2 linked regions of the Ovis aries genome follow. The main gene of each other region encodes a partner of the protein of the gene in region 2 in a complex. Links are inferred from orthologs where the notes say so. Each region holds a gene or a part of one and is shown on either strand. Other genes may lie near its edges.

What was found. The genes of interacting proteins can lie anywhere in the genome.
Region 1: ING3 (region 2) and MORF4L2 share a complex: the UniProt entries of both Homo sapiens proteins name them as parts of the nuA4 histone acetyltransferase complex. The link is inferred for Ovis aries from reciprocal best matches to the Homo sapiens genes ING3 and MORF4L2.

What each region holds. Positions count from the first base shown.
Region 1 is NC_056080.1:129,267,591-129,278,384, reverse strand, and holds the start of MORF4L2 (mortality factor 4-like protein 2), read left to right. Parts: upstream 1-4,753; 5' UTR 4,754-4,812; intron 4,813-6,068; exon of another isoform or gene 6,069-6,140; intron 6,141-7,543; 5' UTR 7,544-7,629; intron 7,630-8,291; 5' UTR 8,292-8,360; intron 8,361-10,794. UniProt on the Homo sapiens protein: Component of the NuA4 histone acetyltransferase complex which is involved in transcriptional activation of select genes principally by acetylation of nucleosomal histone H4 and H2A.
Region 2 is NC_056057.1:87,067,279-87,078,297, reverse strand, and holds the start of ING3 (inhibitor of growth protein 3), read right to left. Parts: upstream 5,054-11,019; 5' UTR 4,936-5,053; coding exon 4,908-4,935; intron 4,663-4,907; coding exon 4,591-4,662; intron 1,916-4,590; coding exon 1,815-1,915; intron 1-1,814. UniProt on the Homo sapiens protein: Component of the NuA4 histone acetyltransferase (HAT) complex which is involved in transcriptional activation of select genes principally by acetylation of nucleosomal histones H4 and H2A.

The DNA.
Region 1 (10,794 bases), on a different chromosome or scaffold from region 2:
AGGTTATAAGCATGAACATAGTTATATTTGAAAAAGGACTCAAAACATCCTCTCGAGACAATGCTTGGATCATAGGACCCAGCGTACACTGGTGGAAATCAGTCCTCATCTCTGTTGGTTGATGTGTACCACAGATGGGTTGACACAATCATTCCAAGTGAAGTGTGTGGTTCACAAAAGCACACATTTTGGTGAATCACATGCTAAACTGTTGACTCAGGAAGGGGAAACCAAGAGATTATGGTGCAAGTCTGGCATCCGAAGGTCATTCAAGGACTACATCGCTTAGATGCAAGTTCTCAGTCACTTATAGTAACCTCTTTCTGCCACATAGATGGGTTAGTTGAAGCAGAGGGGGTTTGATTATAGGAGAGGAGAGGTATTAGAAGAGAATAGATAACCCCGAAAAGGATAAAACTTTCCCATGACTAGCTCCATCATTGGCCCTGTCTGTCATGGGCTAGCAAACTAGACTGATCCAGACTAATTTGCCGAACTGGTTTTATGAAATCCCTACGGAACGAGGTAGGTATAAATAGATAGAAAAAACATTGTTATTAAAGAAACACCATTTTGCTTAGCCTCGAAATATTAGGGTTTTTTTTTTTAACTTTTAACTTAACCAATCATTCTTCAAACAAACAAACAAACACCCAGTAAGCCCCATGTGCTTAGCTGCTCAATTGTGTCCAACCTCTTGCGACCCCATGGACTGTAGCCCGCCAGGCTTCTCTGTCCATGGGAATCCTCCAGGGAAGAATACTGGAGTTGGTTGCCATGCCCTCCTCCGAAGGATCTTCCCAACCCAGGGCTTGAACCCAGGTCTTCCACATTGCAGGTGAATTCTTTACCATCTGAGCCACCAGAACCCAGTAAGCTAGTCAGAACCAAATGAAAAAATAGCAAATTAACCTTAGAATAGAGCAATTTCATCTACTACCCAGAAGCCATGGGAAGATACTGGTGTCCCTCTTTATATTCCAGAAGAGACTGACCACTACCTTCCAGACCTAGGAAGAGACCTAGGCTCTTCCAGACCTAGGCTAAGAAATTAGCCAAAGGGTAAGACAAGCAAGGCCAACAGATACCTTTGGGCAGGGTAGGTCCCACCCTGCACAAGGGTACCCAACTGAGAGGGAGCAAATGGAGGCTGAAATTCATTCTTCAACTGCCCTAGTGGCCTCCAACATCCCTGAGAAAGAAAAACATTTTTCTAACTGTTCCTCTAGTGTGGCTGCTTCTCTGCAATTTGTCTGCCCCCACGTGGCGCATGTTTCTAATTAGCACAAAGGCATCATATGAGCAAATAGTAGCCTTAAAAATTAACTTAGAGATCTTAGAGCCGTCAGGTGTTGCGAAGGCTGCAACCATGAATAACCTTTGTCTGGCCTTGGGCCTTGAAACTAAACATTGACTGAAGCTATCTTTCCCTTCCTGTTAACTCAGACTGTGAAGACAGTAATTCAGCTGTAAAATGAAAAGGAAGAAGAGTAACTCACATTTGCTGAAAATCTGAAAATCTATTAAGAGTCAGGAATCTGCTGAAGCTTCATCCCACTAGTAAGTGGAAGGGGCAGGAGATAATTCACCTTTGAGTGGGCACCATGACATAATAGGAAAAATCATGGGTTTTGGAGTCACAAGAGAGAACTCTGAATCTTTGCCCTGCTGTTTACTAGTTGGCAACTTGAAGTGAATATTTAACTTCTCTGGGCTTCAGTGAGGAGTCACAAAGATAATAGATATAAAGAGCTGAGCATAGTGCTGCCTGGCACATATAAGGCATTCAGCTCCTATGTCTTTTTCTGCTACCACCCTGACTCCAAAGTTAATTCACATTATTCACACCATTGGCCTTTAGGACCTCGTTCAATAGAGCATAAGGACGAGTCTGTGCTGTGCTGCTCTGCTCAGTCGTGTCTGACTCTTTGTGACCCCGGGGGCTGTAGTCTGCCAGGCTCTTCCGTCCATGGGATTTCCCAGGCAAGAATACATGGAGTGGGTTGCCATTTCCTTTGCCAAGGTAACTTCCAGACTTAGGGATCAAACCAACATCTCCTGCAATATCAGGCAGATTCTTTACCACTGAGCCACCTGGGAAGCCCCCAAGAATGGGTCTACCAGACAGAATATTGAAGTGAGAGTCAGGAGACATCGGTCCCAATGCCAGACACCTCCCTTGATGTACACTGAGTAAGTTACTCCCCTCTCCTGATCCCATCAATAAAACAAGAGAACACGTCTAGCTCTGATGCTGAAAGGCAAGAGCAGAGGAAATTACTTTTCTTGAGCACCTGCCATGATATACACACCAAGTTAGGCCCTTTTGCATACCTTATATACATATGCTAAATCAGCACTGTCCCATAAAACTTTCTGATGTTGGGAATGTTCTGTATCTGACAATATCTAATTTGGTACTAACACTAGCCATAAGTATCTACTGAGCCCTTGAAATGTGCATAGTGCAACTGAGGAACTAAATTTTTTATTTTATTTAAATTTAACTAATTCAAATTTAAATACCCATGTATTTAGACAGTGGTTACTGTATTAGATACTGCAGCTCTAAGATAATGAAGCAGGAATATTTGTTCCCATTTACTGTATGTTGAAACTGGGGCTTAGAAAAATTTATGAATTTGCTGAAAGTAACATAAATAGTAAATAAACCAGATTCAAAACCAAGCAGTAGAAAGTTTAGCAGCTTAGTACTGTCAAATACACCAGGAATTACCTAGGCTCCACTACTCACAAGTTATATAACCAAAGAGAGATAATTATAGTCTCTAGAATTCACTTTCATCGTCTATAAAATAGGGATAATCATCGCCTAATTTGTAGGCTTACTGTTGAGATTAATAGGTTAGAGCTATATAGAGTGTGGCTTTCAGCAACTGTGTTTCCTCACCACCCTTTTACCTCAGCCCCACACAGAAGAGGTTTAGACAGAAACTAAAAAAGATAACTGTAAGGTAGAGGGGGCATTTGGGAAAAATAAAAGCAAGAACGGAAACACTTACGAGCTTTCATATGTTATCTTTCATAGAATGGAGTTGAGGGAAGGTATGAAATCATCAAACTGCTTCCACTTATTTGGTTTGCTTCCTTGCCGTATTCTTGATACTCCAGTCAATGTTAGCCAAGGCAGGGAACAAGGTATATATAATGTATTCTGAGGCCCCAAAAGATAAGATAATGCAGCTGAACAACACAGTACTGTCAAGGGCATGGGCTCCAAGGGCAGGTAAAGGTCAATCCTGGCTCCCAAATTTTGTATGCACAAAATAACAGACACCACTTCACAACAGTCTTTCATCTGTGAAACAGGACAGATAGCATGCAGGGTGTCTCAATAAAAAACATATGTTTATTATTTTGCTTTACATTCTGTAGCACCCTCTAGTGGAGTGTACAAAAATAAGCATTATATTTCTACCCTCCAAGAAGTGTGCATTGGAATCACCAGAATAGTTTGTTATAACACAGACACCCAAACCCTAACAACTACTAGAATTTCTGATTAGTTTGGAGGTGAGAATCTAAATTTCTGACAATTCCCCACCAGGTGGTGCTATTGGTGTGTCTGGAAAACACTTTGAGAACCTCTGCTCTAAATCCCACCCCTCCCCAAAGGGTGCACGTGTGTGCCCAGAAACACATATGCACACACACACAAACGTATGGAATCTATAACTGAAATAAGTATAACTTGTGTTGTTTGATTTTATTAGTATGCCTCTAACAAGGATTTTGTGAAGAATTAAAGAATATCATGTGATATGACACATCTAAAATATAGAAAGCATGCAAAAAAACAGGATCACAGAACATAAATCCCAGGTTCTCAGAACTAGTAAGTGGTGGAATCGGGCTCAAAATTAGGCCTCTAATTAGGCCTCTAAACTCCAAAAACATAATAAAGTTTCACAGTACTACTGCAGAAGACAGGGTGAAAACACAAATATCCGATCATAATTTCAAAAGTGAAAGATCAGTTTTCAATCCCAGGGTCCAAGCCCAGTGAAGACAAATGTCTGTACTGACCAGAAAACCACCTGTGTTTTCCCTGCAGCAGAGCAGGGGTCAGGGTGAGGTGGTAAAGCGGGGCAGGTGGCAGCATTTGAAAAGATCCTAACCCCACAGAAAGGGTTAGAATCTTCGTATCTTCATCGGCGTCAGTGCTTGGGGGTCATTCATCAAAAATCCCATGGACGGAGGAGCCTGGTGGGCTGCAGTCCATGGGGTCGCGAAGAGTCAGACACGACTGAGCGACTTCACTTTCACTTTTCACTTTCATGCATTGGAGAAGGAAATGCAACCCACTCCAGTGTGCTTGCCTGGAGAATCCCAGGGACGGGGGGAGCCTGGTGGGCTGCCGTCTATGGGGTCGCACAGAGTCAGACACGACTGAAGCGACTTAGCAGCAGCAGCAGCACCCCCAAAAAAGGCAAGAAGAAAGAGATGGGAGGGGGAATTTTTTTTTTAAGGAGGAAAGAAGTAAAGAAAGGAGGTAAACATTTGAATAGAGCCCTACCTGGTAGGGCTATTAATAAGTTAATTTGATTTTTCTCGAGAAATGAAAGATATATATGATCTTTATAGATTGGAAAGCTCAGCAAATCAGAAAAAAAAAAAAAAAAAGATGGGGGAATCCCATAATTCCAGGGACCAAACAGCCAATCCTTTGCTGGAATTTGGCGGCATCTAGTGGCAAACTCAAAAGGTATAAACCTCACACGGAGAACTTTCTGGAAAATTAGAGTGCATACTTGCGTTAAGAGCACTCTGCCTGGAAATCAGAACAAGCAGGTAAGAGAGCCTCAGCTCCCACAGAAATTCGGAGTCCCTAGTGGAGGGGAAGTCTGTCGTGTACAGATATTCTCAGCAAAATATTGTGGCAGAACTGGACGCAACTTGGGGGTGGGGGATGGACGGGGGAAGGAGCGGGGGTTGGGGGAAGACGGCTATTAGGGAACAGCAAAGCTGCTTTTTGGAACTGCTAGTAAGCGAATGGGGGATTTGGTTGTTAACCGCTGCTGGGCTACGGCTTAGAACGGGATTTTTGATTCGGAGATAGACGTGGGAAGAAAGTGTATTTTTAGGGTTTAAAATCAAATCGATAGGGGAGACCGAAGTATTTCTAGCGAAAATCCTTTATCTCAGTGATGGTCGCCATAACTTAATTGCTTAAATTTCCGTTTTATAAGAATAATTTTCAAACATAAGTAGAAAAATGATCCGCATAGAACGCGCGCGCTCACGCGCGCACACACGCGCACGCACCCGCCCCAGAACACACACCAGCCCCGACGCTAGGGGCGCACGCCTGCGCACACCAGCCACCTCCAGCGCCACGAGGCCTGGCGTTCGCGCACACGCCAACGCCAAGGCCACGCGGGCTCGCTTGCGCACAGGAGCCCTGACACCGCGCGCCCGCAGTACCCCCCACCCCCAACTCGCACACACATCAAAACCCCCAGTCAACCTTTATTTTTTTTTTTTCCTCCGGGAGTTGCGCAAGAGGTTCGGGGGCGTGGCCGCAGATTTGACCTAGCGCTTCCCCACTCGCGGGGACCTTAGCTCATTTCCGCCCATCCTGTTTCCGCAGGCCACGTAGACACTTCCTTTCCCAGTTGGGGGGGAACCCACAATGCCTCCCTGCAGGAAAAAAAAAAAAAAGAAAGAAACCTCTGGGCAGGGGAACTCTGGGTCGTGAAAGTGGGCCACGTGAACACTCTGCCCTATAGACTTATGACCCAACCGCTGTCGCGCTTTTGGAGGGCGGGCTGAAAACCTAAGAGGGCGAACGTCATTGGTCAGAGCCCTCACTAAAGGAGAAAGGTAATTGGTTTCCTTCAAGCCTTAACGGTGAAGAAGCAGGTTGCTAGCACCCGCCTTTACTGCGGCGGAGTGTCATTGCTGACGTGGTGAGCTTCATCCAATCATTTGGTTATAGAACATTCTAAAACTTAGATGAGACGATTGTGATTGGCTGTAGGGCATAAGCCCGCCTCCAGGGTGACGTGTCTGCCTATGGATATCAGTTGCCAGAGAAACCTGGCTTTACTATGGCGGTTGGAGAGTCGGCAGTGATCACACGTCGTCGTCTGTCGGAAAGAACTGGATCCTCGTTTCAGGTTTCGGGGTGGGGGTGGGGAGAAAGGGTTGACGATTTCCTCTTATCGTCGCGTATACAGACAAGATTAATTAATGGCTTTACTATCGGGCAGAACTAGATTCGAATTCCTACTCGCCAACGCCCAGCTTGGGCTGGCTGTTCTTTCTGTGTCTCGGTTTCCATGTTTGTAAAATGGTGATAATAATAGTATCTGTCTCAGAGACTTGTGCCTCAGAGGCGTGTGCTGTATATTAGAGCGTATAATATACGACTGCTAGGTAATGTAATACGTATAATAACTTAATACGCACCGTGGCTCCGGAAGACGTTAGCTATTACTGTGGAGAGAAAAACCCGCGTAATAGAGTGAGAAAAAACGTAAAATTATGTAAAGTCGTTCCTTACAGTGCTTTTCCTATCACCTCCTTCCGTAAAAGAAATTCGAGATACAAAAGAGACGTATCAGTCTTTACCAATGAAATAATTTATTTGACAATTACCTCAAAATAGCGGGGATTGGAATTTTCCGTATTGAAAAGTTAAAAAAAAAAGCGGGGGTGGGGAGAAACGGAGAATGAGGAATGAGAGCTAGCTGGAGATGAACCACATGCGATGAGTAGGCCTTGTTTGAATCCTGATTCGGGGAAATCAACTATAAAAAAATACTTAAAGGTGCATCAGGAAATTTTAAAGACGGATTCGACATTTGATTTTTTTTAAGGAATTAATGACGATGTTTTTAGACGTTGTAATGATACTGTGGTTATGTTTTCAAATTGCCTGTAGCTTACAGAAATATACGAAAATACGAATTAAACAATAAAAGCATTCAGACTGGCTTCAAAATACCTTGATGTCTAGGATTTGCTTCAGAATTAGCTCAGCGGTAAGGGGAGGTGGCGAGGGGCATAGATAAAACAAAATTGGCACTAAATGAATCGTTTAAGCTGAGTGATGAGCTTATGGGATTCCTTGTATTGTTCTAGCTTCCTTGGTATATGTTTGAATTTTTCCATAATAAAATACAGAAAGTCAGCTATTCAGTGCTCTTGAGAAAAACAAGAGTGGGGGGGGGGGCGGCGAGCAGTGGGTGGGGTTACAGATAAAACAAGATGGCCTTCAGTTGGTAATTGTTGAAGCTGGATGATAGATTCGCAAAGGTTTATATTATTCCCCTACATTTTTATCCATTTGAAATTATCCTTAATAAAACTTAGAAAAAAGCAAAAACAAATTATCGGAAATCATGATAAATGTACAATAAGGTAAATTTGAAAATGTAGCCACAAGAAAGGGGGAAAAATCTTGTACGTATTTTATCAGCTTTGGTGTCCTTTGTGTATGTTAAAATGCATTGGTGGAAAACAAAACGTTCATCTCATATCTTTATGTCCTTTGCTGTCCCCTTGTTTGACCTTCTAGACTACCATCAGAAAAACTAAGTTTGCTGTGTAGTGAGGATCAGGTCTGATCCTGATTGCAGAACATCCCTCATTACAGAATCTTGGGTAAGTGCCTCCCTTCTCCTGGCCTCAGTTCTGAAACAAGATAATTCCACATAACCATGATAACTATCTAGGAATATTTTGAGGATTAATAAGGGCCTGTCGAGGAAAGCACTCTACATTCTAAGAATGGAAGGATGGAGCTAAGTCCATCTGTGCTTTCAGTATAGAAAGTGCCTAAAAATCAGTGGGCCCTGTAATCTTACATTCCTTGGTAAAGGATACTCTCTAATACTGCCTATAGTTAGAGCTGTGCATCTATATATATATTTTTTAAAGTTTGTGGCATTCCCTATGCAACATAATTGAGTGGTCAAGAGCAAATACTGACTTCCTGAATTTAAATCCTGGTTCTGCCACTCACTGTAGGATCCTGGGCAGAATACTTACTCACTCTGTCTCTAAAGTTCCTCATCTGTAAAATAAAGATAATGGTTCCTACTTCATTGGATTATTAAGGAAATTACATGTAAATTGTTTGGCACATATAAGTAGTTGATTTAATTAATCATTGTGACTATTAGTCCTTCTGGTACATCCTGTTTTACACACTTGTGCATATGCACATATGCACACACGCACTAATAAAAGCAATAGATACCTTTTTGGAGTTGTTAATAATAATAATAATAATAATACTGTTGATTTCTCTCCTGATTTTCCAGAAGCAGCGGTTACTACTAGAACTGAATTCTGAAATTATAACTTCTGACTTATCCTAACACTCTAGAAAGGTATTGAGTATGTTGATCATATTTATTTATAAGGAAATTTCTAGAAACTGTAATTTTTAACTAGCAAATCAAAACCATATTCAGTCTGCTAACAGGTTTTATATTATTCCTCTTTTGTCTCAGACTCAAAAAATAAAATGTTAAACATTAATGTTCCAAGATCCAGAATTGATATAAATGTAACTGACACAGTGTATATGCATTTAAAGATTTATTCCAACAAACCACTGGATTTGTTCACATTCATTTCTGACACAGTCATACACAAAAATGTCAGTAAATGGAGTCTGTATTCCTGAATAGCCCATCATTTGGGTGAGGAGATGAAAGAAGGTTTTTCAGTCTCTTGACAGCTTTATTTTCCCATGGAGTCACTATATTTTCCTTGCTACTTCCCGCCCCCCCTTCTGAAAGCTAAGTTGCAGAGGAGGGCACACTGCCCTGGTGGGAAAGATGCAACAGATTGGAAGGGGGAGGGCACAGAACCTCTTCATGGGAGACTATTTGGAGAGTGATTAAAGGTGAAAGAGAGGTGGACTGTTAGGCCAGTAGCAGCCCAGAGAAGGCAAGGGTCAAGGTAACCTGAAGGAGCCTCGAGGGGGAAAAGGACCTTGACCTGGGCCTCTGAGGATGGAGAGAATCCATAAGGGGAGAAGGAAACCAGTTCAAATGTTATGCATGTAAAGTATATGATATACAATGCTTAAGTCCAGCTGTATGTTAGAACCATGAATAAGAATAGATCTGAAAATTAATAATGATTTTAAATATGCATATTTTAGTGTAAATCTTTAGTCACTTAATTGATATGTGAATCAGTCTCATAATATACAAAGCTAAAATGTTACAGAGTAGGCCCAGGTTTCCTTTCCTCACGCCCCCATTTCTCTTACTCTCCTCAGAGTTAACCACTATATTATCAGTTCTATTTCCTTCTAGATCTCTAAATTATGCACCTGTTTAAAATGTAGGATATATATATATATAAAATATTCTTTGGTGTTTTCTTTTACATAAATATGCTATCATAGATACTGTTTGACAACTTGCCTTGGATGTCTTCATGTCCATTATAGAGTTGTTTGATTCCATTCACAGTGGCATTCCTTTAACTAGTATGATAGTCCATATAAAGAGTAAGCCATGTTTTGTTTTGCCAAATCACTATTGATAGTCCTCCAGGTTGACCCCAGTGGTTTTCTGTTTAATTTATACTTCACCAAACATCCTTGGAACCCCTTTACAAGTGTTAATTCCAGGGCAATATTTATGTCTTTAAATTATGATGATTAAACCAGTGTTGATACTGGTGGGAGAGGAAACATCATTATGACAGACTGGATAACCTAGAAACAGTGATACTTTTAAAAATGGAATAATCAAAAATCATTGGAAACTAAGTACCTTTAAAGATCCATATAATTTAGAATGCTATAAAACAATTCAAATCAGTGGGGAAAGGATAGGCTCTATAAATTAGAAAAAAATTAGGCATAATATTTGGAAGAAACTATAAAATACTGAGAGAGAATACAGGAAGTCATTTAGAATATTGATTTGGGAGCATTTTCCCCAGGCATGACATGCCAAAGTTCACAAAGGGAAAAGTTGACACATTTGTGTTTTTATACACACAGTGACCCACTTAGAAGAATAATGACAGTTTGGAAAAAATATTTCTAACACACAAAAACACCTAGTGTTTAATTATTAGAAGTCAATAAAAGACAAAACATAGTAGAAACAGGGACAAAATATATAAGAGATGGATACGTACAAATATCTGAACATATGCTCAGTATCACACAAATTCAAATAAAAATATCTTTCTACATATTAGATTACCCCCCTTTTTTTTTGCCAAAAAGATGTTTATCCAGTGTTGCTGAAGTTGTGGGTGAATAAGCTTAACATTTTTGCTGGGAGTACAAATTAAAACATTTCTTCACAAATTAAATTTATCTCTTAAGTCATCAAAGTTGTAAATAAGCAAACCCTTTGAGCAGTTGAGAATGCCCTTCTGAATACTTACTTAATTCGCTAATATATCTATACACTGATATCTGTTAACAACATTTCTGTAATAATGAAGTGTTGGAAACAGCCTAAATGTTCGTTTATATGGGACTGGTTAAATTATACTCTGTGGAGATTGTAGAACGATGTGGATGTTAAAAAGAATGAGCTAAGTATGTGGCCATAGATGCCTGTGATAAAGTGAGAAAACGTGAGGGGCAATATGTGTCTCACCTTTGTCAAGACAGTGTAAATCCATGATGCATAATCACAATAAGAGCATAACAGACACATTTAGTTTTAAAGTAGGTTTCTGTGTGAATGTGTACATAAAAAGATTTGAAGACATTCTGAGATCAGGGAGGGAAGGTGGTAAGAGGATGCCCATATATATCTATATATTTTGGTGTTTATAATT
Region 2 (11,019 bases):
TCCTTGTGTTGGGACAATCCCCTGGAAAAGAGAATGGTTATCTACTCCAGTATTCTTGCCTGGAGAATCCTATGGACAGAGGAACCTGGAGGACTCCAGTCCATGGGGTTGCAAAGAGTCAGACACGACTGAGTGACTAAGCACTCAGGAACATACATTATACATGAGCCATAAAAATCCAGTTAGGTATAGGGTGGGGATGGGATAGTATTAGAAATCTTAGACAACAACCAAGGATTAAAGGAAGATGTTCAGAATTCCTAGAAAAGAGATAACAAATAAACACCATCCAGGTCTAGCTATACTAGTCAAAATTAGGTCAGCCAAAGAGTAATTCTTTTTCTTTAAAAATAGATGTTACTTAGGATTCATCTAGTTTGTAAAGAGTGTTTACACTCTCCATTTTTAACACTTATTATAAAGAACTACTGAAAGGCTTCTGACCTGCACATCCATTGTGCAGTTGTTCTGCGACTCTCATTTTAAGCTAGGTATCAGTTCTCTCCAGTATAAAACAAACTATTTTTTCTTAAATTCTATGAATTTCCATGAACTGTCAAGAGTTTTTAGGGTATATCCAGGCTGTGCTGCACCAGAAACTTAGTAGGAAAAGGGGATGATGAATGACTTTAGGATGTATATGTGTGATGTCTATACTCACACACACTCGGGCCTCCAGGTATCCTGCAAGTCAGGGTTAATTCTACAAAAGATTCTCATGTTTTTGTTCCTAACAGAAATAATATTCCCTTCATGTAGTAAAACAGATAACACAAGTAGTTTCCAAATTTCTTTCTCAGTTGAATAATTCTATGAAGGGTAAGGGTAAGGGAGCCATTATTACTCAGAGATATTAAAGGACATGTCCCACATCACAAAGTCAAACTGCAGAGTCATGATCAAACCCAGGGCTTGTAAATCATTCTTCCAATATGTCCGCAAATTAACTAGACCATATCTCTAAAGCAAACCTTGAGGAGAGAGCTGCTACCCATTCTAATCTGGAAGGGAGCTCTAAGTACTACAAAACTTGTCAGCATTCTGTTCTCCTATGATTCCACCAACATAGGTACTTAGCAATATATGAAATATGCTTCAAGGTTGCTAATTTTCATCCCAGTCTGTTGCCCAAATTGGAAGATACTATACTGAGTTGGTCAAAAAGGTCATTTGAGTTTTTCCATCACATTTTATGAGCTGAATGAGCTTTTTGGCCAACCCAATAGATCTTAAGACAAGGGAACTTTAATTCCCCATAATTAGAATAAAACAAATTAAAAGAAAAAAATGTACTTTTTAAATGGCTTTGTAACTCTCTGATTAGTCACTGATTATTGAAATACTGTTCTAAATTACCAAAATGCTTCAATGTTTGAAAGTTCCTACACCTGAAGCTCTAAAATGTAATGAATCATTTTTAATTTTGTAAGTCATTTTAAAATTCTAAAGAGCTACTGATAACTTTCTCTCATTTTGATATCCCCCCCCATTTAATATTAAAATGTCTTCCTCAGCTGTGCTGTGCTCAGTTACGTCCAATTTTCAACTGCTGAAAGTCGTGTTCAGTCTTTTGTGACCCCAGGGACTGTAGCTTGCCAGGCTCCTCTGTCCATGAAATTTTTCAGGCTAGAACACTGGAGCAGGTTGCCATTTCCTATTGCAGGGGATCTTTCTGACCCAGGGATGAAATCCGAGTCTCTTAGGTCTCCTGCACTGGCAGGTGGATTCTTTACCGTCACGACTCCTGGGAATCCCCTATCTTCCTCGGAGAGTTCCAGTATTTACAGATAAATCATCCAGAGCGTTGAACACACCTTTTTGATGGAAGCCATTTGTTCTTCTCGCCACTCTGGCTTATTTTTCTTTGCATTCATGAAGAATTCACTGACTCTTTGTTCTAGCTGATCCATTGCATCTAGGACATAATAAAAACATTTCATATTTAGATGACCAAACTCATATACTGAATATACATGCTTTGATGTGAAGAAAGATGTGATGTGAAAATATCTGACTACATACACTCTTTTACTTGGTCTGTAACTTAAATACGTCACGTTCTAATAAAATAAATAAATAAATATATCTTAATTATCTTCGTAAAGAAAAGTTATAACCTTCCCTACTGACAATTTATTTTTGCAATTTATTTTGTAAAATATCTGACCACATAATTCTTTTACTTGGTCTGTAATTTAAATATGTCATGTTGTAATAATATAAATATGCTTTATGTAATAATATATATTATACTCTAATATATACTATAAATATATACTCTAATAATATAAGTATACTTTATAAATATATTTATAAATGTGATATATATATAATTTACTAATTACCTTAGTAAAAGTTATAATTTTCTCCTAATGAAAATTTATTTTTGTTACTTCAAAACTGTTTCGGATAGTCAAAGTAGTCAGCAAACGTAGATAGATTCCATCCCATAGTTGTTGACTAGTAGAGGCTTGGGGTCACAAACTAATGATATTAAGTCAGGCAGATGCGCCCAAACACAATTTCTTGTTGAAAGCACTACTAGATAATCTTCACTTTTCTCTCAACAAGAAAATGTGATAAAAAGGTTTTAACCTTTTGCTATATACCATTAAGCACCACATATACAATATTATTTATTTGAGGTAAGTTTTTTCTGAAATGTGTGCTAAGAACAGTCATTTATATGCTAAAAGAGAAAAAATTAAAGGGATTTTGTTGCTGGGTAAACTGAGGAAAACTTTTTACTATATTGTTTGGGAGCTTTGCAGTGCATAATAATGTATCTCTTACCTTACAAAGAGGTATCTTTTGTTAATTCATAATACCTATTAAATTTAGACAATTCTAATTATTGTAAAAAATGGAAGTTTAAAAAAACCTCTGATTTATATAATCAAGTCGAAACTGTTAGAGAACTTAACATTTGTGATATAAAGTACAAAATAATAACTACCCTTTATTGAATGCCCACTTTGTATCAGGTACTAAACATTCTAATTTATGTGTATTTCTTTTAATCCTCAAGACAATAAAAAATCCCTCAGAAGTGGTACTGTGGTCAAGGCCAATGAATTAAGTCAGTAAAGCCCTAAAATGAACTCAGATTTATCTGATGACTACGCTCCATCCTGTAGAAAACACTACTTTAGCAAATATTTAGCATTTCAAATACATTAAAGTTAAAACGAATTTTGTGAGCAAGGTGAAGAAATATAGAATTCAGACGTCTACACTACAATGTGAACAGCAGGTGACTTCCATGATGTATCACCCTGCATTATGTATCACATAAAAGAACAGTCATGATCAATGGGTATGGAAGTATGTGCAGCGGTGACAGAGAAGTGGGGGGACAGGCTCTTAGCTACCTCAAGATTCCCACTCTGGAACGTTCTGTTCTCTGATTGCTTTCCGTGATACTCCTTTCCTCCTTATCATACCCCAAAACCCAGATCTTCCCCTAACCATACTTTTCTAAGAAAATCTGTCAGCACAAGAATTTACCTCAATCTGAATTCTATTTATAGTCTAAATGCAGCCAGAACACAGGGGATCAAGATATGCCTTCTGCAGGAATAGCCCTTAAACAGTTAAGGAGTACTTACACTTCTCCAAACCAAAAGAGTGACACACAGCCAACAAAGCACACTGGGTTATACATTTTAATTACGTATCACATAATTCATTTCACATTCTTAATTTTTAATATAGCGTATCTACAAGACAGCTGGACAAGCTATATTATACTCATTTCACAAAGGGGTAAGGTGTGTGAGGTTCTTTCAGAGCATGATGGACTACAAGGGTACTGAGCACTGTTTTCGTGTTTCAAAATTTTGCCTTGTATTTACCATGTTACCTCTAAAGTTATTTATTCTCTACCCTCTCTAAATCAAAAACATGATCATATAAACTAAATACTGCTCTGTGAAACAGCAAGGTTATTTTCGGGAAAATGTATCCAGACTACCAAGCTATAACCAAAAGAAAAACAGAAAAATTTTGCTACAGCAGACAAGAAGCTTTACTGTAAAATTTTATTTCCTTTCCCATTTTGACTGACAAACTATCATACTGTTTGACAGTTGAGAATGCATCCTTTATCATGTAACTTTTCAAATGGGACATTCCAAGTTCACCACGGTCTCTAAAGAACTACATAAACCTGTGCTTCTATGTGTTGTCCGCTCTTGAATTTTGCCTAGCATGAACTTTAACAGAAATAGAAATGCTGAAATTTACGTTCTACACATAAAGTCTCAAGTCAAAACCTTCGCAACATTTATGCCGATGTGCACTAAATCGTATCTACATACTCAAAGAAAGTACAGAAACTTTTATTGCACAGTCCCAAATTCGAGAAAGGAGCATACATGCTCTAATGCCACCTTCTCTTGTAAAAGTCAGGAGAAAAGTAGTGTGGTAGACAGAAGAGGCAAGATTTGGCATTGCCAGTTCTTTTTGACAACTCCTTCTGTACTAGCGAATGAGCCGGAGGACAGCCAAACACCAGAGCCGCTGACGTCGATGGCACGTAAGTCTGTCACTGAACGCGCGCAGCGAACAAGGGCAAACGCGCCGACTTACTCTGCACCTGCAGGTCCATCTCGCGCATCTCAGTGAAGCGATCCCTCAGGTCCATTGGAAGCTGCTCAATCACTGTCAAAGGGAGATTCCGTCAGAGGGGCGGGGCCAACGGCGAAAGTACGCGCTTACGTCACTGCGTGAGTGCGTGCGTCGAGGGGGGTCGAGAGAGCCCGCAGCCCACAACGAGGCTGGCAGTTACCGTGAGAAAGAAACATCCCCCGCCTCCCCCTCCCTCCCGCCATCCCGCCAGCCGGTCTACTCCCGCCCTCACCCGCCCGCAGGTACCCCGGACTGGCCAGCCAGCGCCGCCCACTCACTTTCCAGATAGTCCTCTAGGTACAACATCGCGGCCCTTAGAGCTGGGGGAGCGAAGGGGTCCAGGGGTTTATTTGTGTCACTCGCTGTCGCCGGAGTTTTGTCCCTTCCAATATGGCGCCTCCGCTAGCAGCACCCGCTCGGCTCCGGCGGAAAAAAAAAAAAAGTAAAAAAAAAAAGCACTTTGGCGCCTGACGGCGCTTGCCTCACCGCCGCCCGGGGTGATCATTGGCTGGCTGAATCAATGACGTAAACCGACTGGACCCCGCCCCCGCCCCCTTGTGGGAAGTGTAGTTTTAGTCCCTCCCCAACAAGCTTGAACTTGCTGGCAATTCTCCACCAGAAAACTACAAAAACCAGGCGCCGGTGCGAGCCGTGAGCAGCAGAATCTGAAATGCGGTGCCGCTATTTATTTGTTGATTTTTCACGGGGGATGACGGGAGTTGTATGCTTCTGCAGAACACAACTGGGAAGAACTTTTCACCTGTTCTTTCTTTCTGTGATTCCATGCCCCGACGTTTGTGAGTCATGGATTTCAAGTAGTGCTAGGCAGACGGCGAAGGTTCCAACGCTAGAATAATCAGCAAAGTTCGGGCAATTGGGATTGTTTAAAACAGAGCTCGTTGCTGGAATGTATCCTCAGTAAACAATCCTAAAGATACAAATGGGACGTCTGGTTGGCTACCGTATAACTAAAATAGTTTACACTTAGAACATGGAGTAAATATTTCCTGTGTTGAAAGATGCATCAATAGTTCTCAATAGCCTCTTATACATTGTATTTTGAGGTCCTTCTAGTCTTCATTCTAATGTAATTGACCTATACGTACACCTTCACGGGAAAAAAAGTGAGCAACCAGGAATAACGGATGATGTCTTAATATCTAATGGGTGGGTTATTTTTGCAATAACTATATAAAGTTGAATCAATAAACTGTATAAACGTCTGTCACCCCAGACGTTGTCTTTTTTCTTTCGATTACTTCCCGCATTTGTTCAACCGTGTTATATTTAGCCCTTCACTGCTGAGTTTGTTTCCTTTTTCTTAAAGACGTTAACACTCAGTAGAGATTGAGTATGGTTATTTTCCACCTGTCTTTACTTAACTTTTCCCCACCCGCCCAGGGAAATGTGTCTTTAGTTCATAATTTAATATTCTACTTCTGTTTTTCAGATTGGAGCTGAAACACGTTATGCATTTGCATTTTTTTCTCCCTCCTTTTTCCTTATACACTAGACTTTTCCACTGTTCTTAATCAGGAGAGTTACCTGTCAGATTGATGAATCGCGAAGGAAATTTACCTGAGTCTCAATGAGAATTACCTAGCTTATTTTCTGCTAAGTGAAGTGAAGTTGCTCAGTCGTGTCCGACTCTTTGAGACCCCATAGACTGGTAGACTGCAGCCTGCCAGGCTCCTCTGTCCTTGGGATTTTCCAGGCAATAGTACTGGAGTGGATTGCCATTTCCTTCTCCAGGGGATCTTCCCAACCCAGGGCTCGCAATCCAGTCCAGTATTCTTGCCTGGAAAATCCGTTGGACAGAGGAGCCTGGCGGGCTATAGTCCATGAGGTTGCAAGAGTCAGACACGATTTAGCGACTTCAATCTTCCTCCCTCCCTTCCTTCTGGCTGTCTCGAATCTAGGTTTGAATTCCTTCCTTCCGTCCCTTTCTCTTGCCTTAAAACACACACACTTTTTTTAACCATGCTTAGGATTTAAGAGGATTTCTGAATCAGGAATAATGTCCTGCAACAATTATAGAAAATTCTCACCCTTTATCTTTTTAGTGTTGTTTATTTCTCATTTTTCTCCATTATATCGTAGAACATCTATAGGACATTGGTAAGAATTTCTCACTTTATCCTCCAGTTCCTCTTGGCCTTTTATATGGTCCATCTCAAATTTTTCAAACACTTTTTAGTTTTAAAAGTTCTGTTTGCTTCTCATTTCCTGCCATTTTCTAATTTCCTATACAAATTAAGCATAGTCTGTACTCTGTTAAATCCAGTACTGAAAATGTTATGGGTCTTTTGTGCTGTCTGCTGTTTCTTCTAACTTTTGCACATGGTGTCTGCCTCCTTGTGGGTTATTATTTGTGACTCTGTGCTGTGTTTCTAGGGTTATAACTGGAAATTCTTATAGGCCAGAGTTAAAACTAAGTTTTCCTAGAGATTATTAGAATTTGCTTCTGTAAATCTCTTGGAGGCATCATCAATTCTAGTACCAGATTAAATTATCCACTTGAGGTTTATTGAATTGCACAGATTGAATGAATTTGGGCCTCAAATCAAAGTGGCTTGTTACAGATTCTCACGGGAGACTTTTTCTTCTGGAGTTTCCTGATCAAGACAGGCATGAAGCCCCCTGGCCCTCACTTACTTCTCAGTATGCTCTCATTTTTCTTGCTGCCTTTCTTTTCATCCCCTGTGAGAATTTCTTCATTTGTTACTAGTACATCAGTTTATTTGATTTTTTAACCCAGCATTTTTTGTTGTTTTCAGCAGGTGTTTCATTCACAATTAGCTGAAAGGACATGCTGTCAAAAATTGAAGAAATAGAAATAGAAATCCATCATTTCAGTATAATTTGAGCTTCTTCAGGGAGTTTTCTGTATTAAGGAAACAGAGATAATATATCATTTGCAATTCAGGCAATTTATATCCACTACTCCAAAGAAATAAAAAAATTATAGCACTTACACCCTATGTATTTTACTTGATGTAATTTTTGTGTTTTGTTTGTTTGTTTGTTTCTTTTTTATTGAAGCATAAGTGCCATATATTACTTTCAAGTGTACACTGTATGATTTGATATTTGTTTTTTTAATGTTTTATTTTCATGCAATTTTAAAGGTTGCTTTCCGCTTATAGTTTATTATAAAATAGGGTTTTTTCCATTTATATTCATTACAAAATATTGATTGTATTGCTTGTATTGTATAATACATCCTTGAGCCTATCTTATACCAAGAGTATGTAATGACGGTTATTATTCTTGGACCATGTATCAGCTGCAGAAAATTGTACACAGATGTCATAGCTTCTTATATCATTAACTCATAGAGCAGATAGTACTTGGAGTAGCTGCCCACTTAACAACCACTACTGCATTTCTAGGAAGGGCCCCTTCTATGTAGGGATAACCATATCTGTATTCCATTACTGTACAGCTAATCAGAGCTCATTAACTTACCAAGGACAGACCAAAGCCAGACCTATCAGATGCATTCTCTTGGGATTTTAAACTGGGAATGAAGAAACTTGAAAACTGATGTCAGGGTGACAGAATTGCATTAATTTCAGCACAATAAATAGGTGGTCCACAAGCTCCTGTTGCGAAGATACTCCAGAGAAGCTCCGTTTTTTTTCCTTGCCTTTTTCTCCTTTTCTTTGTCACTTTGATAACATGAGTTGTGTGCTATTGAGAGTTATTTTAACACTCTGTGCCTCTGTTTCCTAGTCTGTAAACCAGAAATAGCAATAGTAACAAAGTTATAGGAGTGTTCAGTTCAGTTGCTCAGTCGTGTCTGACTCCTTGCGACCCCATGATTTGCAGCATGCCAGGCCTCCCTGTTCACCAACTCCTGGAGTTCACTCAAACTCACGTCCATCAAGTCGGTGATGCCATCCAGCCATCTCATCCTCTGTCGTCCCCTTCTCCTCCTGCCCCCAATCCCTCCCAGCATCAGAGTCTTTTCCAATGAGTCAACTCTTCGAATGAGGTGGCCAAAGTACTGGAGTTTCAACTTTAGCATCATTCCTTCCAAAGAACACCCAGGGCTGATCTCTACTAGAATGCACTGGTTGGATCTCCTTGCAGTCCAAGGGACTCTCAAGAGTCTTCTCCAACACCACACTTCAAAAGCATCAATTCTTCGGCACTCAGCTTTCTTCACAGTCCAACTCTCACATCCATACATGAGCACTGGAAAAACCATAGCCTTGACTAGACGGACCTTTGTAGGCAAAGTAATATCTCTGCTTTTGAATATGCTATCTAGGTTGGTCATAACTTTTCTTCGAAGGAGTAAGCATCTTGTAATTTCATGGCTGCAATCACCATCTGCAGTGATTTTGGAGCCCCCCAAAATAAAGTCTGACACTGTTTCCACTGTTTACACTCTTTCCCCATCCATTTCCCATGAAGTGATGGGACCAGATGCCATGATTTTCATTTTCTGAATGTTGAGCTTTAAGCCAACTTTTTCACTCTCCTCTTTCACTTTCATCAAGAGGCTTTGTAGTTCATCTTCACTTTCTGCCATAAGGGTGGTGTCATCTGCATATCTGAGGTGATTGATATTTCTCCCAGCAATCTTGATTCCACCTTGTGTTTCTTCCAGTCCAGCATTTCTCATGATGTACTCTGCATAGAAGTTAAATAAGCAGGGTGACAATATACAGCCTTGACGTACTTCTTTTCCTATTTGGAACCAGTCTGTTGTTCCATGTCCAGTTCTAACTGTTGCTTCCTGACCTGCATACAGATTTCTCAAGAGGCAGATCAGGTGGTCTGGTATTCCCGTCTCTTTCAGAATTTTCCACAGTTGATTGTGTTCCACACAGTCAAAGCCTTTGGCATAGTCAATAAAGCAGAAATAGATGTTTTTCTGGAACTCTCTTGCTTTTTCCATGATCCAGCAGATGTTGGCAATTTGATCTCTGGTTCCTCTGCCTTTTCTAAAACCAGCTTGAACATCTGAAAGTTCACGGTTCACGTATTGCTGAAGATTGGCTTGGAGAATTTTGAGCATTACTTTACTCGTGTGTGAGATGAGTGCAATAGAAGTGTTGGATTGAAATAATACCATCCATGCAAAGCACTTAGGTTAATGCCTGAGAAATATTATACAATAAATGACACTTTCTTTATCCTCATCATTAAGACTGTTAAGACCCCTTGTAAGTTATCCATATGCAGATGCCCCTTTGTGCTACTCTTAGCTTTGCGTTAGATCCCTGCTGACTTTACATCTGGACACCACCTAGAACTCAGCTGTTGTATTGCCACTGTCATAGTAAATTCAGAGAGTTGGTTCAAGAAAGCTATGTGAGAAGACTGCATTGAAGGCTAAGTAGAAGGAATCAGAAGAGATTCAAAGCAGATGCAACATATGACTGTCTTGGACGGGAGTCCAAGTCAAAGGAAAATTTAAATTCTTCATATAGCATGTCCTCAGGGGAAGCTTTGCCTATGTCTTAAATTCTGCTGCTTCCCTGTCTTACAAAGAAAGCTATCATCTTGAAAACTTGCTAGTAAAACTTTGAAATGAGATATTTTCTTCACTTTGTTCCAATCAATATATCCTCCCTGACAGACCTCTGTAATAAAGTAGAGTAAAATGCTATCTTTACAAGTGAAGTGAAGTGAAGTTGCTCAGTCGTGTCTGACTCTTTGCGATCCCATGGACTGTAGTCTACCAGGCTTCTCTGTCCATGGGATTTTCCAGGCAAGAGTACTGGAGTGGGTTGCCATTTCCTTCTCCAGGGGATCTTCCTGACCCAGGGATCGAACCCAGGTCTCCTGCATTGCAGGCAGATGCTTAACCCTCTGAGCCACCGACCTCTCTAATTTTACAGCTTTAAAATCCATTGAGCCACTTACTAGATCAGTTATAAGCAGAGAATAATGGTGGTGATTTAGTCTCAAAGTAATGTCCTACTCTTGGGACCCCATGAACTGTAGCCCACCAGGCTCCTCTGTCCATGGGATTTTCCAGGCATGAATACTGAAGTGGACTGCCATTTCCTACTCCAGGGGATTAAACCCCTCCCAACCCAGGGATTGAACCCATGTCTCCTGCATTGCAGGCAGATTCTCTTTTTCTTTAACATTTTTTCCTCTTTTTAAAATTTTTAATTTATTATTATTATTATTTTTTTTTTAAATTGCTCTGGGTCTTTGTTGCTGTACACATGCTTTCTCTAGTTATAGTGAGAAGAGGGCCACTCTCTACTTATGGCACATGGCTCAGTTGCCCTGTGGAATGTGGGATCTTCCTGGACAAGGGATTGAACGCATCTCTCCTGCATTAGCAGGCGATTCTTATCCAGGAACAATCAGGGAAGCCCCACAGAGGAATTCTTCACCGCTGAGCCAGCAGGGAAGTCCAAG